Lonchura striata: one gene and its partner. The main gene of each other region encodes a partner of the protein of the gene in region 2 in a complex. Links are inferred from orthologs where the notes say so. Each region holds a gene or a part of one and is shown on either strand. Other genes may lie near its edges. The genes, in order: NPPC and NPR3.

Evidence for each region.
Region 1: the proteins of NPR3 (region 2) and NPPC are in contact, whole or in part, in a crystal structure (PDB 1JDP), measured with the Homo sapiens proteins. The link is inferred for Lonchura striata from reciprocal best matches to the Homo sapiens genes NPR3 and NPPC. Residues at the interface, in NP_001191304.1 of Homo sapiens: Asn110, Tyr138, Ala141, Pro142, Arg145, Ala161, Gly163, Phe164, His166, Glu170, Tyr171, Tyr204, Lys208, Leu209, Arg211, Tyr214, Phe215, Leu217, Glu218, His221, Glu222, Gln225, Ile233; in NP_077720.1 of Homo sapiens: Gly109, Cys110, Phe111, Gly112, Leu113, Lys114, Leu115, Asp116, Arg117, Ile118, Gly119, Ser120, Met121, Ser122, Gly123, Leu124, Gly125, Cys126.

The regions. Positions count from the first base shown.
Region 1 is NC_134612.1:18,240,847-18,250,560, forward strand, and holds NPPC (C-type natriuretic peptide), read right to left. Parts: upstream 4,026-9,714; 5' UTR 3,997-4,025; coding exon 3,904-3,996; exon of another isoform or gene 3,805-3,903; intron 2,476-3,804; coding exon 2,149-2,475; 3' UTR 2,136-2,148; intron 763-2,135; 3' UTR 317-762; downstream 1-316.
Region 2 is NC_134642.1:38,647,253-38,656,666, forward strand, and holds the start of NPR3 (atrial natriuretic peptide receptor 3), read left to right. Parts: upstream 1-5,273; coding exon 5,274-5,973; intron 5,974-9,414. UniProt on the Homo sapiens protein: Receptor for the natriuretic peptide hormones, binding with similar affinities atrial natriuretic peptide NPPA/ANP, brain natriuretic peptide NPPB/BNP, and C-type natriuretic peptide NPPC/CNP.

The DNA of each region.
Region 1 (9,714 bases), on a different chromosome or scaffold from region 2:
TGGGCTCATTTCCACGGGTGCCATTTGGGATCTGGGCATAGATGTGCTGCCCAAGGCTGTGTGCTCTCGCAGGGAGCTCAGCTGGGGTCTGCAGAGTCTTGCAGCGCCAGGCAGGATTCAGTCCATCAGAGCATCACAGGATTGGGCACAAGTTTACTTTTGCATATGGGATCAAAGCTTAAAATATCAGCTGGCCTTTCTCTCACTCCTGACTTTTCTAAAACATCTGAACAATTTCTTCTTGAGCTCTGCTAAAATCAATCAATCTGACATTTAAATTGTATGTGAATTTGATAAATAAAGACAGATTACAAAATGCCACACGGAATGATTTTTTTTAAAGTTTTTCAACTACTTAGGACAAAAAATGTTACAATGCTTGACTTTTCATTTAGTTACATAAATAATTTTTTATAAATATCTCTTTATAAACAATATATAAATAGCTTTACAACATAAATACATTTATGCATGACATGAATTTACAAACAGCAATGTTATACAGCTGGCTTCATCAGTCTCTTGGAAAAGCACTGTCCCTTGTCTCGCTGAGTGTTTGTATATATAATATATATAAGATAGAGAGCACTTGTTAAAAAAATAACAAAACCAAAACAGTTGGTGCCATAATTCCTCGTACCAAAAAGAAAAACACAACCACATCTTTTGTCCATTCCAAGGGGGTCTCTGCTTCTCTAGGTGTTGCCTGGGGATGTGCCTGGCCGTGCGTGGTAGGAAAAAGTGGACTACGGACTCAAAGCCCTGTGAGGAACAAGAACAAAGTGCCCATTAGTATTTGCCATGCAGCACCCCTTACCCATCCCCAGCCAAAACTCCTGCCCAAGTATCCATGGCCTGGGGCTGGGGGATGCTGGACTCAGCAGAAGCCATCCCTGAGCTTTTTGCTTGTGCTAAAGAAAGGAAGTGCACCCTTTGCTTTCTGGCTGGCGTTCAGGGGAGAGGCTGAGGGAAGCTGCTGCTCCTCCTGCCCTTGTGTTAGAGTTTTTTTTTTCCTTGTTCTGATGGGTTTAGTGAGAGAGGATGGGTGTGACCTGCCTACATGGGGTCTGTGTGTTCCTTGGGAGCCCTGAGCTAGCAATACTTGGCAATACTGAAGAGTTTCTAAATGAGGGAGGAGAGAAACAGCACCCATCCCTCCAGGACAGGCCATAGACCAGCACTGGCATCCTGTAGGCACCTTTGGGTTGTGCTATTCCCATTGCTCTGCAGAGCAGCAGGATGCTGGATCCAGTCCCTGCTGTGCCCAGTTATGCTACTGCAGGGCTGGACCATGGGAAGAAGAGCAAGTGGCCTGGGCTGCAGTGGTAAGTGCTTCCCGAAGTGTGAGTTCATCTGTGTGTGTCCTGCTGGCAGGGCCAGGCCAGAACCATACCTCACTGTCCCCAGCACCCGCAGGGAGACCTGGCAGGGGAGGCACTGCCATGTTTTTCCCAACCCATCACTCTGGGGAAGCCACTCCTTCACGCATTGGTTGCTGCACAGTGGCTGTGAAGCACTGTGGGAGGAACTTCTCCCAGCTTCCCATAACTTTCTCAGATACAAAACTGCAGTTAGGAAAGTGCTACTCATGGCTGTCACCACACCTAGAAGACACCTGAGGAACTTATGTGTTGTTTGTCCTTAAAAGCACTGGAGCATGGCTGAGACAGGAGCCTCACTAAACTCTCCAACTGCAGGCACACAGGGGGTACCCTGCCCTCCTAACACCTATCCATAGCTCACCTAAGTGTTTCAAGCAGAGAGGGCAACTAGAAACCTGTGGCTGCACCAGAGCTCCTCCTGCATCCTCCCCGGAGCCCAGGGATCTAGCTCAAATTAGGGGGAATCCAGATTGAACTGCTGCAGAAGCAGCTGAGGTCTCTGACCCTTCTGCAGGGTAAGGCAGAGAGAGGGCCGGTGGATTCCGGACGGGAATGTAATAAGGCCAGCTTTGGGGTCCTCCTCTTTACCTGCCAGCAAAGCCAGAGGTTGCGAGGCTCAGCGGGACGAACACCTGCAGTCCCGTGCGCTGGCATCTCGCGTTCGCAGGGCAGCGCATCTTCCGCACGCCCCGCGGTACCGGAGCGCGGCCCCCGGCCCATCCCGGCCCCGGCCCGGCCCGGCCGCGCACTCACCGCCAGGGGTCCCTCAGCATCCGAGGCCGCTCATGGCGCCGATGCGATCCAGCTTGAGCCCGAAGCAGCCCTTGCCCAGGCCCTTCTTGTGGAGGCCCTTGTGGCGGCGGCCCGGCGGGTCCTGCAGCAGCCGCGCCCAGCCCGCCCGCGACCGCGCTTCGGCCCGCGCCTCCCGCGCCTCCCGCGGGCCCGAGCCGCCGCCGCCGCTCCGCTCCTTCTCCCGCTCCTTCTCCCGCTCCTTCTCCCGCTCCTTCTCCCGCTCCTTCTCCCGCTCCGCCGCCTCGGGCGGACCCGCTGCCGCCGCCGCCGCCGCCGCTGCCGCCGCTGACCCGCGGGAGGCCTGTGGGGGGGAGAGGGTCAGAGCTGCCGTCCCCAGCGATCCCCATGAGAGTTGGGGACCCCCTGTAAGGGACGCGCAGAGGGGTCGGTGTATCCCCCCTGCGATGCAAACTCGCGATTGGGTCTGTGCCCGGCAGTGCAGTCCATCACCCCGCTCTGGCTGTGGCCAGAGCATTTTCTCCCCTCCCTAAATCTGTGCTCCCTTCCCTGGGGTCAGAGCATCCCCCTGACCCACACCGTAGCGGTGTCTTCCTGTCCCGGTCATTGCATATCCACACCACCCCTCCAAAGGGCTGGTGGTGCTGCACACCTCAGCTGCGCTTCTGTCACTATCCTGTCGTCCCATTCCATCCCGTCCTCCCCCAACCCATTATCTGAAGGGACCTGAAAGCCGGCAGGTCCTTTCATTTCAGACCCCCTCGGTCATTGCATCCCTCATCAGTTTACACCAGTTTACAGACCTCTTCAGATTATGGGGAGGGGTCCTGCCCCACAGATCCTGTGCACCACTGCAGACTGTCCCCAGCAGTGGTGGGGAGATCAGGGTTCCTCCTCCCTGCTGCTCCCTCCCCTAGTTAATGCTCTCTGTGTCCTCCCAATCCTCCAATTCTAACCTACAATAAGAGGGACACACCTCCTCCACACTGCTCCCCCATCTCCCAGGCCTTCCATCTCTCTCCCTGCTCAGAGCTGCTGCCCACCAAGCCATGGAAATGTTAATCCTCATTCATTTTCCCAACATCCCCCTGTATCAACACTTTTTCTTCAGCCTGCACCCCAGTGCCTTACAGGGACACTGCCACTCCCATCCCACTGCTGCCCTGGGGCACTCGTCAGACCGTGTCTCCATCTCTGTGCCAGACCTCAGGGCAGTACCACCCAGTACAGTAGTACTGGGTGCCTCGGGCACATCCCTCGTCCTCAGCATCTCGAGAAAACCAAATCCCTGGGACACTCTCATTTGGGGCGCCCCTTCCTCATGGGACACGCGGGGAAGGGACACCCACCTCTGTGCCCCTGCCCGGCCTGTTTGGTCAGGACTGCCCGGCGGGCTCTGCTCTCGCACCCTGTCCCACCGTGCACCTGCTGCCTGCCCCGCTCCGGCTCTGCTCCCTCCCCCGTGCCCGGCACAGAGGGGTCTCCAGAGTGACTCCGGGGGCACACTGCCGCCTCCCCTGCCCCGATCCCGCGGGCTGCGGGGCACACCGCGTCCCACTCAGCCTCTGGTATGGGGCGACGTCCCCGGACGTTCGGGACAGCCTGGAGAAGCAGGGAGTCCCCCTTGCAGTCAAACAGCCCATGCGGAGAGAAGAACCCCTCTTTGCACTGACTCTGGCACCCCACAGGCACCCCACGTTTCCCCCTGTGCCGTTAGGACTCTGAGCGGGACCGGGAGAGGAGGAAGAGCCGGAGAAAGCTCCAGCCGTACCTTCTGTGGGAGCTGAGACGCCGGCTTCGCCTCCAGCCTGAGGGAGAGCAGCGCGAGTAAAAGTCCACCAGCCAGCAAGGGTGAGATCTGCATCCTGCGGGGCCGAGCGGCAGGGGGGTCGGGGGGGGCAGCGGGGAGCCGAGGGCAGCCCCGGGGAGAGGACGGGACCGACGGGAGTCAAAGTTCAGAGCGGAGCCCCGAGGTCCCTCCTGCCGCCTGCGAAGTGCCGAGCTAGTGAACTTGGGCTGCTTTCTGCTTCATTCATTTTATAACCCAACCTGCTCGGTGATGTCATCTAAATACCCAGGTCCAACCCGGTCTGCACTCCACAATAGCAGGAATTTAAAGGGGGGGGGTGGTGGTATCCCCTCTCCCCTGGCAGTAACAAATGACACAAGACAACCAGCTCCGGGAGCTGGAGACCCGAAAGGGAAAGCGGGGGGCATTTGGCTTGATGCCCCCGCCCTCCCCCAGACGCCCCCGGCCCCCCTGCAAGCTGTCTGCCCTCCCCTTGCCGGCTGCCCCACCGCCCCTCTGCTCCCCGCACTGCCCTGCTGACCTCCCGCGGCAGAACACGGGCCGGGCGGGGGGGGGTGGTCCCGGTGCGGGATTCATCCCAAAAAACAGGAATAAGCACCTTTTTTTTTTTTTTTTTTTTTTTTTTTTCTTCCCACATCCAGGATTAGATCAGACTGTGCCTCCCAGGTCTCTACTTGGCAGGAGCAGGGCCACTGCCTTCTGTGACAGGAATATGGGGGACACAAAGAGATGGAGGGTACAATGGTGCTTCTTGAGGGCACCTCAGTGGGTCTCTTGGCTCCGGGACTGACCTGCTCTCTCTGCTTCTGGGGGATCTTGATGGTGTTCCTGGCCCTGGAGATGGGGCTTTTCAAGCACCCTGGGGATGCAGGGTATAGTTAGTGTCACAGGGTCCCTTGTGGGGACAGGACCTCACTGGCTGACCCATGTCAGGGCTGTGCAGCCTGGCCTCCCTCTGACCTGCTCCCAGAGCTAGAGGTTACAGGAGAAAGGTGTGATCCTGGGATTAACCCCAGGAGTTCACAGGGCCTTTGAGGAGGCCCCTTGCTCTCAGCCTTCCCCTTTCCTGGCTGGCAGAGCAGGATTTGTGTCTCTGCTGCTGCTGGGGCTGGCACTGGGCAGCTCTGGAGCTCTGCTGGCTTTTTGCTGATGGAGCTGAGCACCATCTCCGGCCCCCTGTCCAGGGAAAATTCTCTTCTTGGCATGAGGGCAGAGGAAAGACACCCCTTTCTTTGCAGGAGCATCCACGGCTGAATTGCATTAAGCTGGATTTGTACCCCAAATCCCTTCCCTGAGACCAGGGAAACATTCTCTGCCCTTTCCCCTGTCCCTGGAGTCTGTTTCAGTCTGGTCCTTTCCTCCTGCTTTGTATCCTGGTCTTTCTTGGCTCTGCTGCTCCACAAATCTCTGGGAAGCTGCCCCTGCTGTGGGACCATGGCTCTTTGGGGGGCCGTAGTACCCCTGCTCAGGAGCAGGGAGATGTTTCCTCCTCCACAGCCCGGCTACTGGGCACGGGACACTTCAAACGAGATTGGCTCTTCAGCTCCATGTGAACGGGAGCTGGAAGGAGAAGGTCTCTGTGTTTTTTCCATTGCGCCTGCCAGGTGGAGACAACTTGGACTTTTTTGAGTGTGAAGCTGTGCTTGGGCATTTGTCTGCGTGCAGGCAGAGTGAAGTGATGGAGTCGGGATTAGAGCCGACCCCGGGTGCCAGAGAGCCGTGGGTGCAGGCAAGGAGCAGAGAGAGGCCCCTTCTCTCGGGGTTTAGTCCTTGTCCCACACGAAGTGGAGCTGGAATGTGGCAGCCAGCCTCACCAGGGTGCAAGGAATGGGGCGCTCTGCACCACTGCCCCCATCAGCAGGCTTCTGCAGGGAAAAGGGGAGCAGCAGCTGAGCCCTGGGTCTCCACAGGATGAGAGATGACATCTCTGCGGGGATCTCGGGGTGCCCGAGGCCACCAGCAGCTCAGCAACCCCCACAGAATCCTGCCATCACCGTTCTGCTTGCACTGGCTCCTGCCCTGGTGCTCTGGGCAGCCTGTCCCTTGGCTTCTCCCGGTGCACCCGGGACGGGGACAGAGACGAGGCAGATGGCTGCGGAGAAATGTCACAGTGTGGGCAGGAAGGGCCGCCTCGTTTGCCACCAGCCCCCTCGCAGGCTGCAGTTCACGGGGTCGGTGCCAGAGCTGCTCCAGCAGCCCCTCGCCCCGGAGGATTCGAGCATCGCCACAAACGCCACAAGGCGCTCAGGTCTCAGCCAGTGCCTGCCCGCAGGAGGCTCTTCCCGGCCCTCGGCTCTCTAGCGTGGTTTTCATTAGTGTGTTTTCTTTGTCACACTGTGCAGAGCCTCGGGTTTGGGGGGGGGAGAGGAGGGGCTGTGTTTTATAAATCCAATTAGCCTTGTTATTCAAATTACTCTGCCGAAGTCAGAGCCGGGCGCACACAAAGACTTAACTCAAACCAGATCGGATCCGCTGGGATGGCAAAAGCTCAGAGCTGGAGCAGGAGTGTGTAGGAAGGGGTTAAGAATGTGAAACCCTTTTGCTTGGTGGGGTGGGGGCCTGAAAGCTTTTAACCCTTAAAGGGATGGACCTTCATTAGTGCGCAGCCCTGTGGGATGATCACCCAGGATGAGAATTCAGGGCATGCGTGGAAAATGAGAAGTGGAGACATAAGGCTGGGCTCACAGGGGTCTTCCCCAGGCACTGGAGAGCAAAGAGGATCCTAAACAGCTGCACGAGGAGGGATGGAGACCTGTGGGGTGGGCTGGAGAGGGTGACACCCCTCCCCATTTCACCCAGGGGCGCAAAAAGAGCCAAGAGGAGAGAGGGGCACCAGGGCTGGCCTGTCCCTGAGAAATACCAGCGTCGAACCTGAATTATGGGGAATGGGCTGCTGTGGAGATGCTGCTGAATCTTAGCAAAGTGGGATGAGCCCTGAGTATGGGGACTTCTGGTATGTAGGGAATAGGGAAGGGAGCAGAGACTGTGTTGTATGTGTGAGAGGGCACCCATGTCCCCTGTCTGAGGATGGAGAGGGATTCATCAAAATGTGACCAGTGCCAGCATGATTTGGAGAGTGGGAGGAGATGGGTCATGGGGATCTGTGTGACAGCAGCATGGAGTGTTCTGGCCCCATCACAAGGAAGGGGTGAGTGATGCCAGCACTGAGGATGCATCCAGCTGGGCAGCAGTGGGGCCCTGGCTCTCCTGGCTGAAATTAGGAGCCAGGTTCCAGGCACCTTCTAGAGGATGATGTCAAGAAGGTTCACAGGATAGAAATGTGGACTCAAGTCGGAAGTAAGCTGCTACTGTAGCAGTGAACAGCCAGTGATTCATCTCCTTTCTCTTCAACTCAGTTATCCTTAGGGAACATGTTTCTTATTGATTTGGGAAATCACTGGCCAGATTTATGTCTCTTCTGCTACCTTCTGCCAGGAGAGCATTTCCTGACCAAGAGATGGATAACCCTAGGGTGAGGATTTTCAGCTGATGCCATGTGAAAGCCAATCATCCCTTTGCAAAAAGAGACATCAGAAGGCAGAGTGCATGTGATGGTGATGCAGAGGGGCTGATGCTTTCCCACAACCAGTGGCCAACCCAAGTTGTTTTTGGTTAAGAACCATCCCAGATGGTGGGACAGAGAAGGTACAAAGATGGAGCAGCTGTTAAGATAAGGGAGCTACTTGACCCCCAGCACAGCCACCAACTACCAGTCCTCAGGAATATGATGTGTTCAACAAGAGAATGTCACCAAGAGTTTGATGTGCTGAAATAAGAGTTTTTAACAGTTGGTTTTCTTCTTTTTACAGATTTTAGAGTACCTCTCTAGGGGTCTGATGATAGCCAACTCAGTGAGAAGCAGTTTGAAGAGAGATTTCAATTTTGATTATTGGGATGGATGAGCAGCCTCTGGTGCATGCAGGGGACTATCTGGTCCCACCTCTGTGATGATGTTCCTCCTGAGGATGCTTTAAAGAAAGGTTTTCTGGGGAATAACTCTGTAGCCCCTGAGGCAAGAACACTGCCCAGCAGCTCAGACCTGGCCATTACAAGTCCACAGCCCCAGTAGCCACCAGGTGGTCACAGGGATGGGGGAGCTCCATACACTGGGGTGTGATGCTCCTGGGGTGCTCTCTGAACCCCTGATGGAGATTTTGGCCTGTTTGAACATTCCTGGTGTTTGTTTTGGATGCTGCTGCTGTTGAATGAGACATTGCAGGAAACACTACAGGATTTTGCACTTTCCCCTGTCTCCTTTGGGTCGGGAAGAGGGCTCTGCCTGAGGATACAGGCATGGCCAATACCCCCTCTCCTCAAACTGGGATGGTGATGGGGAGACAGCCAACAGAGCTGCCCTGATGGGGCAGGCAAGAATGGGGCTGCATGTGCTGCAAAAGCCTTAAGTTTAAAGACCAAGACGGTTTCTCTGTCCCCTCCCAAAACCTCCCAGAGTGGCAAAGCTGAGGAGAAGAGGACAAGCCCCAAACAGAGACTCACAGGTCTTTGCTAGTGAAGTGCTGATATTCTGACAGGCACAGTGTGTTTTTCCCCCAGGGCTTTGCCTTTTGGGATCTGCCATTTTTTCCTGGGCTTCCTAGGATACTACAGTCTTCTCCTGACATTCTGGATATTTTTTCCAAGGCTACAAGGGGATATCTGTGCTCTGGAGCTCGGATGCCTCACTGCTCTGGTGGGAGCAGGAACACAATGTCTCAGGGTTTTGTTGAATGTCAATAAAATGAAGCAATTCTAACGCACGGGTGACTCCACACCACGAGCCTCCCTCTGCATCAGTCCTCAGAGGATATGAATTGCACTGCTTCCAGCTCCTGGCAGCCTCAGGTCTGCAGCTGATGTAGGGACAGGTTGTTGGGATTTTCCAAGCTAAATGCCACAGTCATCTTTGTTCTCTTTTTTTCAGATGTCTTCCCCATAAAATGGGGGTCTGGCAGTGTTTCACCCACAGCTTTGGGGTCCCAACATCATCCCAGGCTTGTTGATTTTGGCACTGAGCATCCCTTTGGGAATAGGAACTGCCCAAAGGTGTGATGGCCCAGAAAGGCAAAAGGATGAGCTATTAATATCACATTCATCCCTGCAGGGAGCCATGCCATGTGCAGATCCTGAGAAGAGATCCAACAGGCTTTTGGGGACCCCCAGCCTGTATCCAGGGAATCTCCATCACAGCGGTGGAGCCAGATGCCACCAGTGCCTCGGGGGATGGATGTCTGTGCCCTCCTGTGCTCGTGCACAACCAGGCCAGGTGAGCAGGTCCTCACTAGCCCCACGGCTCTGTCAGCAGCATGTCCTGGCTTGGCAGGAGCCTCTTCCACCTGGTTTGGCTGTGCAAACCCCTGTCACCCTCGAAAAAGCCATCAGCAGCAGCTCCCTTGCAGCCCCCCTGCCAGATACAAACACCCTCCAGCTCCTCTGAACTGGCTTCCTGGGAACCCACTGCAGGTGGTGGGAAGTCCCTTCGGCATCAGTTCTTCAGGAAAAAACTTCTGGGCTTCCTGAGTGTCACCTGGGAGCCCCTGGATGTGGGAAACCCCAGGAGAGTGTTGGGAGGCAGAAAGCCAAATGCGTTGGTCTTGGCAGTGCTGGTGGTCAAGCCTTTGACCTCCTAAATGAAAATGATCCCAGAGTGATCCCACTAAAGCCAAGTTTGGGCTTTTTGCCTCTTTTTATTCTTTTTAGGAGGGAATTTGTGCGGGTGCCAGCTGAGGAGCACTGAATGACCCTGGCTGGGGCTGACATTGGAAGAGGAAGATT
Region 2 (9,414 bases):
AGAAGTGATCATTGCTGAGTTCCTGCCTTTTACCAGGAACTAGAACTTGTCAAGCACTGTTCGCTTTATTTTTTGAGCCCTTATCCATCTCGGTATAATTAAATTATATTACCTAGTGTGTGAAATGGCCAGTTTGCCATTAATTGTAAAGTCTCCTTTTTAAATTTGCTTTGTTGCATCTCTTTTCTTGACTGTTGACATTCCTCTCTGCTCTGTACTTTGTCTTCCTCCACCAACTCATCTGTTCTTGGTTGGAGCTTTTGTCCTCACTCAGTAATCTCATTTGTTCCTATTCCTGTGATGTGATGACATATGAAAACTGTCTCTTCTGCCAAGTCCATATATTAATTTTTTTAAACCACATTAGTGCTTTAATAAACTGGAAGTTACAGAACTCATGAAGTACAAGTTTATTTAACAGAATTTATTTTAATTTAATTAAATATTTAAAATATTTTTGTATCAGCTCAGTGGAATAAGATTTGTCAATAGTATTAAAAATGTTTTTTCCATGCATTCCCTGTAATTTAATAATTAATTAACATGCAAGAGAAAATACATACAGAGATCTCAGCACTAGTTTTCACTAAGGAGTTCCTGTCTCTCATCTCTGGCATCTTGCTGTTGTTTCAGATCTTTTGCTCTGCTGTGCCAACACAACCACATCAATGAGCTGATTTAGTTAAAAAAATATTCCACATTTTGCCTCAGAATACTTCTAAAGATCAATCAGTTTCTGGGACAATATTACTGCGTAAACTGACACATCCTGCAGAGCTGAGTATCCAGACAAAGCATAGATGTCTGGTTTCTTTACACTGTGAGACTTCTATTCCTCTTTTATGGGAATACACGTGAAAGAATATTTTGGAATAGTTCCTGACTTGAGATTGCACATGACAGCAGTGCAGCTTCTTGGTTGTCCATGCTATGGGATGTCTGATCCCAACTCTCTTTTTGAGGCACAGTGATAGTATTCCTAACTATTTTTTTACAAGCAATATGGGTATGTATTGTAGGGTTACTAGATCTCAAGAAGAAAAGATCTTTGCTCTCCAAAGCCCTTAAAATCCTCTGGACAGAAATGCCATTATATTGGTAAAGTACGGGTGGTGTTTGCATTTCACCAATCACTCTTTATTTCACACTATGATACAACTGTTTGACGGAGGCAGATGCACATGAGGAACAAGGTGGCCACCATCCTGTGCACTCCAGTGACCATCCAGTCACTGACCTATCTAAGATATGGAAATGAAAACAAAAATGAAAATCACAGGAACAACTTGGATCCAAAGCAATTTAGTTTAGTTAGATCCTCCTAATTTAGTTTAGTTAGCAAAAAATGTCTGTTCTGTACCCTGACATTATTATATCCAGCTGTGTCTAAATACAGAAATCGGTTGCCAAACAAAGAGAATATTTTCTAACATAGTCCCATCAGAAGAGGAAAGTGAGTTTAGCAGAGAGTCAGTATGACTCAAGGTAATGTATAAGGTTATACTGTTAAAAAGAATGCACTAGTTGCATTTTTAATATTTCTATCCTTACTACAAATACTTGTAAAATAGGTAGTGTAGGTGTACTTTTTTAAACTGAAAATAATTGCAAAACCATCTTTCTTAGAAATAAAAGTTATCTGGAAGGTTGTGATGTCAACTTCTCACTATTATGTTCTTTCACACCCTTCAGTGGAAACACAATTGTGCTGTAAAACATTAATGCAACTAGTCTTTGCTGTGTACAAAGCTGCATTTTTTCCCATGTTGCAAGTTGTTTGGAGTGGCAGGCTGCAGAAAAGAAGTATTGTTTCTCCTTAAACATTCATGACAAGAAGTTTAATCTTTATGGAACAAAAAAGAGTGAGGGCCAGTCTTTTTCACCTTATCATCTCATTAATAATATAAAAATGACATCTACCTGCCTGCCTTTACTTTCTGCTGTGAAGTGGAAGCTGTTCAGATAGCAACAGCAGCAAAGTGTTATTATTATGTATGTGTGTATATATATATATATATATATATATATATATATATATATATGTATACATGTACTTCAATTTTTGTGCGCACTTTTGTGACCTTGGGTTCTTGTATCTCCAGAGAAGTTGGTGTAACTTACAAGGGGGAAAAAATCACATTTCCATCTATTTTTCTAGCATCAGATTGGCTCATCTTGGGTTTTCATGCTGTAGTATTTTCACCTCAAAACCATGCTGATTTTTATACATAACAGAAGTATATGAAGGTAAGGTCACAGAACACAAAAAGAGACACAAGATGCATCATGATACATTTAGAAATCTTTTCGGTATATTCCAAAGGAGTACAGATTCCTTAAAATAAGAAGATAATTCAAGATTGCTTGAAAAACAGGGGAAGAGTTTGCAAGTCTGAATAATCTAGGCAGGGTATATTTGCACAGGCGTTTCATCTTTTCAGCCTGTAGGTGGGACTGTGTTTTCAGCAAACCCATCTGTGAAAAAAAAAATCTGAATTGGCATCAGGCAGCTCAGGCTGTTGCTAATGCTGGCTGGAGTGAGTCAAGTGATTCTTGACTTGTATTTGAGTTATTTCTGGGGAGAAAATGGCCTGTGTCCGAAATTACTTTAGTCCTTAATGGGCTATTCTGAAATATCTGTTCTCACTGCAGTCAGTGGGCATTCTGCCTGCTACAGATCTGCAACTGCAGATTTGTTCCTATTAAAAAGCATTTATGTAGCTGAAAAAAAAAGTCTGTGGAGAAATGTTGAATTTATAGCTATGGAAAATACTGTAAGTGAACTGATGATGGTGTAGTAAGTGACATTTTGAATTGGGATTAACAAGTAAATTCTCATGCATAACTTCTTGGCTCAGAAAAAATAAGTCCATCACAGGCTGGGCTTCTTTTTTACAAAAACACTTAGGGTAAAAGGGAAGAGAAATGTTTATAGCACTCTAGGCCCACAGAGACACTGACTCCCATAACAGTGAATGCAGTTACTCAGGTGAGTAAGAACCACATACTATGGGCCAAATGTTATTATGAAAACACTGAAATTGGACTCTGACGCTACTACTGCTACACAGTACTGGCTAGATGCCTTGTGTTTCTTGTTTTGCCTCATGCTGGCCCTATTTCTCCCACTCTTATTCATTCCCAACAGTACTTTACCTCACAAGGAGCAACCCGTGTAAAGGGGCAGCAGCCCTGTCATTTATGGGGTTACTATCTCTTCTGTTGTGTTTACACAGCTTACGTTGAAATAAGACAGCTAGGAGAGTATAGAGCTCACATGTAAAATATATTCTGCTGAAGGAAGAAGGAAATCATGAGAGATCCTACCAGATTTTGGTGCTGTAAACACATGTGTTGGGTCACCATAAAGTAATCACTACAAAGGTCAGCATTTCAAAATGTGTCTTAAGAAAATGTTTTTGCTAGCTTTGTGGTAAAGATGGCTGGTGTGTTGTATATTGTAACATTCTGCTTAATCTCCTCTATGTTATACAGAGTCATTTCCAACAAAAAATGCCTGACATAACTTACAGCACAGGAACACACAAAACCAGCTTCACCAGGGTGGCTGTTTATGTAATCTTCAAGAACACTCTGAAGTTTGATTCAGTAATCAAATAAAACTATGAGAGGCATATTTCTGAGACACTACCCATCTTTAAATTTCTGAGCTTCTTTATTTTTCCGAACCTTGTTAGATAAATGTTGATGATTATTTCTGTACATCATGTTATCTGCTGTTTTCATTCCACTTCTTGGTTGTAATTGCACAAGTGCTTTGAGCTTTCTTTTTTTTTAATTGAGGCATCTTAAAGGTGAGCAGATGGTCACCACAGGAGTGCAGGTTTCCCATTCACAGCCTGCACAGCAAAGGCAAAAACAAAAGTTAAGTTTACACATACTGCCCTGACAACGACCTCTGTGCTGAACTAAACAAACCCCTTCTGTAAAGCCAGGAGCATTTCTCTCCCCTTTCGAACACAAACCTGGCACTCTCTAGAAACCATAAAAAATCAAACTGGGCAGCCCTGCGCTGGCTTTCAGGATGTGTGCTGCTGCAGGACACAAAATGCTCCAGGGTGCCATCCTTTAGGAGTTGCAGTCAAAAAGCATCAGGTGTTCCAAAGCCTCTTTCACAAAACAAACATCTTGCATATTTCACATCACTTTATGCCAGAAAAGGCTAACAAAATCTGAAGCATAGCAGTTTAAGGCCAGTGAGTAGAATTGAACGGGGATGATCTTAAGTCTAGGAAATGTTGTCGCAGTAGTTCCAAAGGTTCTTTTTTTCCCCAGTAAAATAATCTCAGACCTCTCCTTCACTGGGGTTAACCTCTGTTGCTTGGGGTGTGACACTGTGTCTCTCAAGGTAGTGGGAAATGACAAAGCCCGGCATCCAGACCTTCTTGTCACGGGGGACTCAGAAAGATTCCAAAGGGATACAGGTAGGGGCCACAGATCCACTGTCAGCTTCCCCGCAGGCTTATGCTGTGCATGGGCACCTTTCCGGGTTGAGGAGACGGGAGCAGGACGGCCCTGCTTGTGCTCTGCCACAGCGCCCGCCCGGCTGCTGCCTGCATCCCCTGGTGCTGATGCTGCAAGCCCTCCTTCCCGAAATCCCACAGCCCTGCCGAGCACTGAATCCCTGAGCCCTCGGGGTGCCTCAAAAGCCTTTCTTATGCAGCAGAGGACAGCTTAAGCAGGCTGGAACAACCCACAAAAAGTATTTAAGGAAAAAATGGAAGTGCAATTGCTCGCACGGGCCCGATTGCGGGGACTCGCTTGGCAAGGGAGGGCAGCAGCCGAGCGGGAAGGTAGGCGAAACACACACATCAGTGTTCGATGTACGCGATAAGGACACCTCCCGCGGGCCCGCGGAGGTGTGCGGGGCGGGGGGGCCGCAGGGAGGGGGCGGGCGGGAGGGAGAGGGCCGGCTCCTCCCTGCGCACAAACCCGGCCGCGCCGGGCCGGGCGTGCGGAGACGCCGCCGCCGCTCCCGCGCTACTTAAGCGGGGAGGGCGCAGCCCGGCAGCCCCGCGGGGGGATCCGGCGTGGGGGGGAAAGTGATCATAGTAGTAGTCGTTCATCTATAAGAGAACGAGAAAAGCAGAGCCGAGATGCTCCGTCCGTCCGCCAGCGGGGTGGGGAGGGGCAGGTTGTGAATCCGCCAAACACCTGAGAAATAAAGCACGACCGAACAATTTCGAGGCGGGCGGGGAAGGGGGGGACGAAAAGTTTGCCGGAGCTCGGGCGTCTCCGGGGGGGCGGGCGCGATGCCGCCCTGGCTGCTCGGCAGCCTCTGCTGCGTGCTGGCGGCGCGGGCGGCGCTGGGCAGCGGCCCCGCGGGCGAGGAGGAGGAGGAGAAGCTGATACGGGTGCTGGTGCTGCTACCGCAGGACGACGCCTACCTCTTCTCGCTGGGGCGGGTGCGGCCGGCCATCGAGTACGCGGTGCGGAGCCTGCGGGAGAGCGGCGCGGGTCTGCCGCCCGGCTACGCCTTCCAGCTCACCTACGAGGACTCGGCGTGCGGCAACCGCGCCCTGTTCAGCCTGGTGGACATGGTGGCCCTGCAGCGCCGCCGCCCCGACCTGCTGCTGGGGCCCGTGTGCGAGTACGCGGCGGCGCCGGTGGCGCGGCTGGCCGCGCACTGGGACGTGCCGATGCTGTCGGCGGGCGCGCTGGCCGCCGGCTTCGGCGCCAAGGGCGGCGAGTACTCGCACCTCACCCGCGTCGCGCCCGCCTACGCCAAGATGGGAGAGATGCTGCTGGCCCTTTTCCGCCACCACCAGTGGAACCGGGCCACGCTCCTCTACAGCGACAGCAACCCCGAGCGCAGCTGCTACTTCGCCATGGAGGGCGTCCATGTGGTCTTCCAGGAGGAGGCTTTCCACATGGCCGTGCACAGCTTCGACGAGACCAGCCGGCACCTCGACATCGACGACGTCGTCCGCGCCCTCCAGACGGGAGAGAGGGGTGAGTGGCGGCGGAGTGCCGGGCAGGGCTCCTCTGTGGCGGCCGGGGCGGTGGGAATCCCGCGGAGGGAAGGACCTGCGGACGGGGAAGAGTCACGGCTCGTCCCCGCCCGTGGGGAAACTCACTGCAGTGCTGCGACGGCAGCCCCGGGCCAGGCATACTCCGACGGATGGGAACAGCAGCCCTGAGTGAAAGCTCTGCCCACAGAGCTAGAGTTTGCCTCCCCACGGTGTAGAGAGCGGTTTGCCCTCGGGGACCACCTTTGGAGGGCTTTGTGGCATGGTAAGAAAACATCTTGCTGCTGGCAGTCTGGTTTACCCAAATTATCCACGTCTGCAGGGCAGCAAATCTGTTGCTTACTCTCTGAGATTTTTGCAGTGATACTATATAAGTTCAGGGACTAAACAAAGATGTTTTCCTCTCACCCCACTGTGCCTTGCAGCGGGAGATCTTTTCATGACTTCTGCCACTGGGAACCTCGTCGAGTAACTCAAATAACAGATTCATTTAGGGGAAATGGCAATTTCAGGGGATGTGTGCACGTGAAACACCTGAGTGCATGCCATGATATTGTCACCAAGTGATAGGAAGACACTGTGGAGATAAATGGCTTGTAAACATCTGAGACAGTCATGTCTGGGCTGGATGAACTGACTTTGCATCATGGAACAGCAAAGCAAAGTGCTTTGGAACATGCAGTTTTGTAGTTAGATGTTCTTTAAAGTGAGATCTTGCCTAGCAGTGTGTGGCTATATGAGCTTATCAGAAACACTTTTTCTGTTTGAGGGTTTTGCATGACTTACTGCAGAAGCCATAGGCTTCCTCAGTAAGTCATGCAAAAAGAAAATACGTAATCCAGAAGTGAACTGTAGGGTGAAGTTAAAGTTCTTAGGTATTTTCCAAGAAAGCCATGGATGTACAAAGCTCTTTGTACAATTCTTACATATCTTGTTGTAGAGTATTAAAATAGCACCAGAATTGGACAGATAAATATTATGCTGTGTGTGGCAGGCAGAACTGGTATTGTGGTGCTGTAGGCTGTGGATGGAGCAGCCTTGCACTGCTGATGTTACACTGCTGTGAAATAATTAACATGCCGGACTGTGTGAGATAACTGAGGTCTGACAGCATAGGGCTTTTAATTCCCTATTCACTGAAGTACATGCTTTAAATAGAGCTTTCCTTTTAAGTATCATTTGGGGAAATATAATGGATGGAGAGAAATAAATGTGTTAGTACTGGAGGAAACCACAGTGCGGGGAAAGATGCTTGTCAAATGTGTGTGTGGCTTTCCTGATGCTGAGAGCATTACAGCATGCTTACATCAGGAAAAGACAAGTGTTCACCCCAGCCCCACTCTTCACACCATGCTGACAGTCAGGGAGGAGAGCTTGCTTTCAGCCTGATCTGAATTGCTTTGTTGAGCTGAGACATTTGATCTTTCACAATTCTTCAACTTGCAACTGACTGAACAGAAGCAGCCCTCTTCTTTCTCCCCATTGTGGGGTCCCTCCTTCCATCTCACCTCTGTATTTGTTCTCTGACTCCTGCCACTCAAGTGGGGCCCTCCACCTTCCACTTGTGCCTTTTTGACTTTAAAGACTGACTGCAGGACTCACCTGGCAGATTCCTTTGGCCCTGCTGCTCATGGCATGTTTCAGGTTACCACAATATTTTAAGAGTTCTACACCACGTGGAGGGTGCACCAGATGAGGTCTGAAGATCAGTAGAAGTCTTTATTTGTTCTCAGGACTCACTGGAGATCCCCCCAGCAGGACAGCAGGACTTGTGGGCAGCAGCACACTGTCCAGAGCACTTTCTAGAAATATTTTTGCTTGGTTGGTTTCCAGTTTTTAATGAGTCCTGTGTCACACCTGCTGTGACCTCACTTTCTCTAGCTTTCAAAAACTGCTGCCGTTTGGTTCCCACCTGACTGGTCAGCCTTCACTGAGCTCCCTGACTAGGAGTAGGCTTTTGAGCAGATACAGGATTCTTCCTTGAGACTCTCCCAGAGCTGGGAAGAAACTGCCCCACCAGCTGTCCTGTGGGAAGCAGGACAGAGGTTGGCCCCAGAGGTTAGGTTGCTGCTGGCTGGGGGTTTTCACTGGCCTCTCTGATGCCTGAGAGGAAGAGGCACACTCAGCCATTCACCCCTGTGTGCCAGGGACTGCGAGTTCAGTCCCTGAGCCATGTGAAATGGCTGAAGTCTTGGAGCCACAAAAATTAATGATGAAAATGTGATCATTAAAATCAAGTACTTGTCTACAATTAGTTTTATTAGTAGTTCAGGCTTCCTTATAGGCTCAGGTAAGCCTGCTGCAGAGTCCATGTTGAAGGCTCAGGTTTACTGTACGGTTCATATATGTGGGCCTATGCTTTATGTATAAGCACACAGTCCAAGGGATGTGTGTAGCAAAGGGAATGCTTATTCCTTTAAACTGGAATGAAACTCCAAAGTGTTTTCAGGATGAATCAATAATCCTAGTCAATAAATTCAGCATGTTAGTATTAGAATTACTGTGTTCTGTGTGTATTATGGCGGAGAGAGAACATTTTGTATGGGTGTGCACATACACATTTGGTACAATGGTAAGGTACAGATGCAGATTAAATATATAATTTATATTTTTTTTGAAAGATTGTGAGAAACATATCCATAGATTATTTGCTTCAGAATCTTGAAATATGTCCTGCTGGGTTAGAAACCTCTTCCAAACAGTTAATATTACTTCTCTTACATTCCTTTAGAGGCTTACACAATACGATTTAATGTATGTTAAAGTAGTTCCCCACACACTCTTTTTCTTTTATTCCTTTTGCTCAATGTCTTTTATTGGTGTTGTGGGAATCCCTTTGATTCCATCTATGGATTACACTTTTATGATAGAAGTGCATTACAAAGGCAGAGTCAAGGAAGAATTGGGAGGGCAGAGAGGAAATATTTCAAAAGGAAATCTCTCACCTATACTGAAATTAAGAACAGTGAGACAAATTAATTCCTGATGTGCATCTGGAAAATATTTGGTCCAAATTTTATTGTAAGAAATTTTTTTTCTTGTTCATTTTCCTTCATGATAATATACTTCACAATGGTCATGAAATATGTCTTGCTCTGTTGCACTGGAAATTATTATATTACTCTGCCATAATCTGTAGGACAGAGCTATGCATGGTATAATTCTCCTGAAGTGTGGGGCTGTACTGAATATGACTCACCCCAGTGGCACATCTGGAGGTTTATGCCTGTGATGGCATCCAACCAGAAAGGCGATGGGAGAAGATTCATTGTGTGCGAAAAGATTTGGCCTGTTTGGCATTTTCATTTCTTATAATAGAAAACACTTCCACCCAGAAGAGCCAAATGTGGTTTTGATTCATTTTTATTGTTGGGTTGAAAATATTTGCGTACATTATTGTAGCTTTTGAGTCCTGCCATGCGTG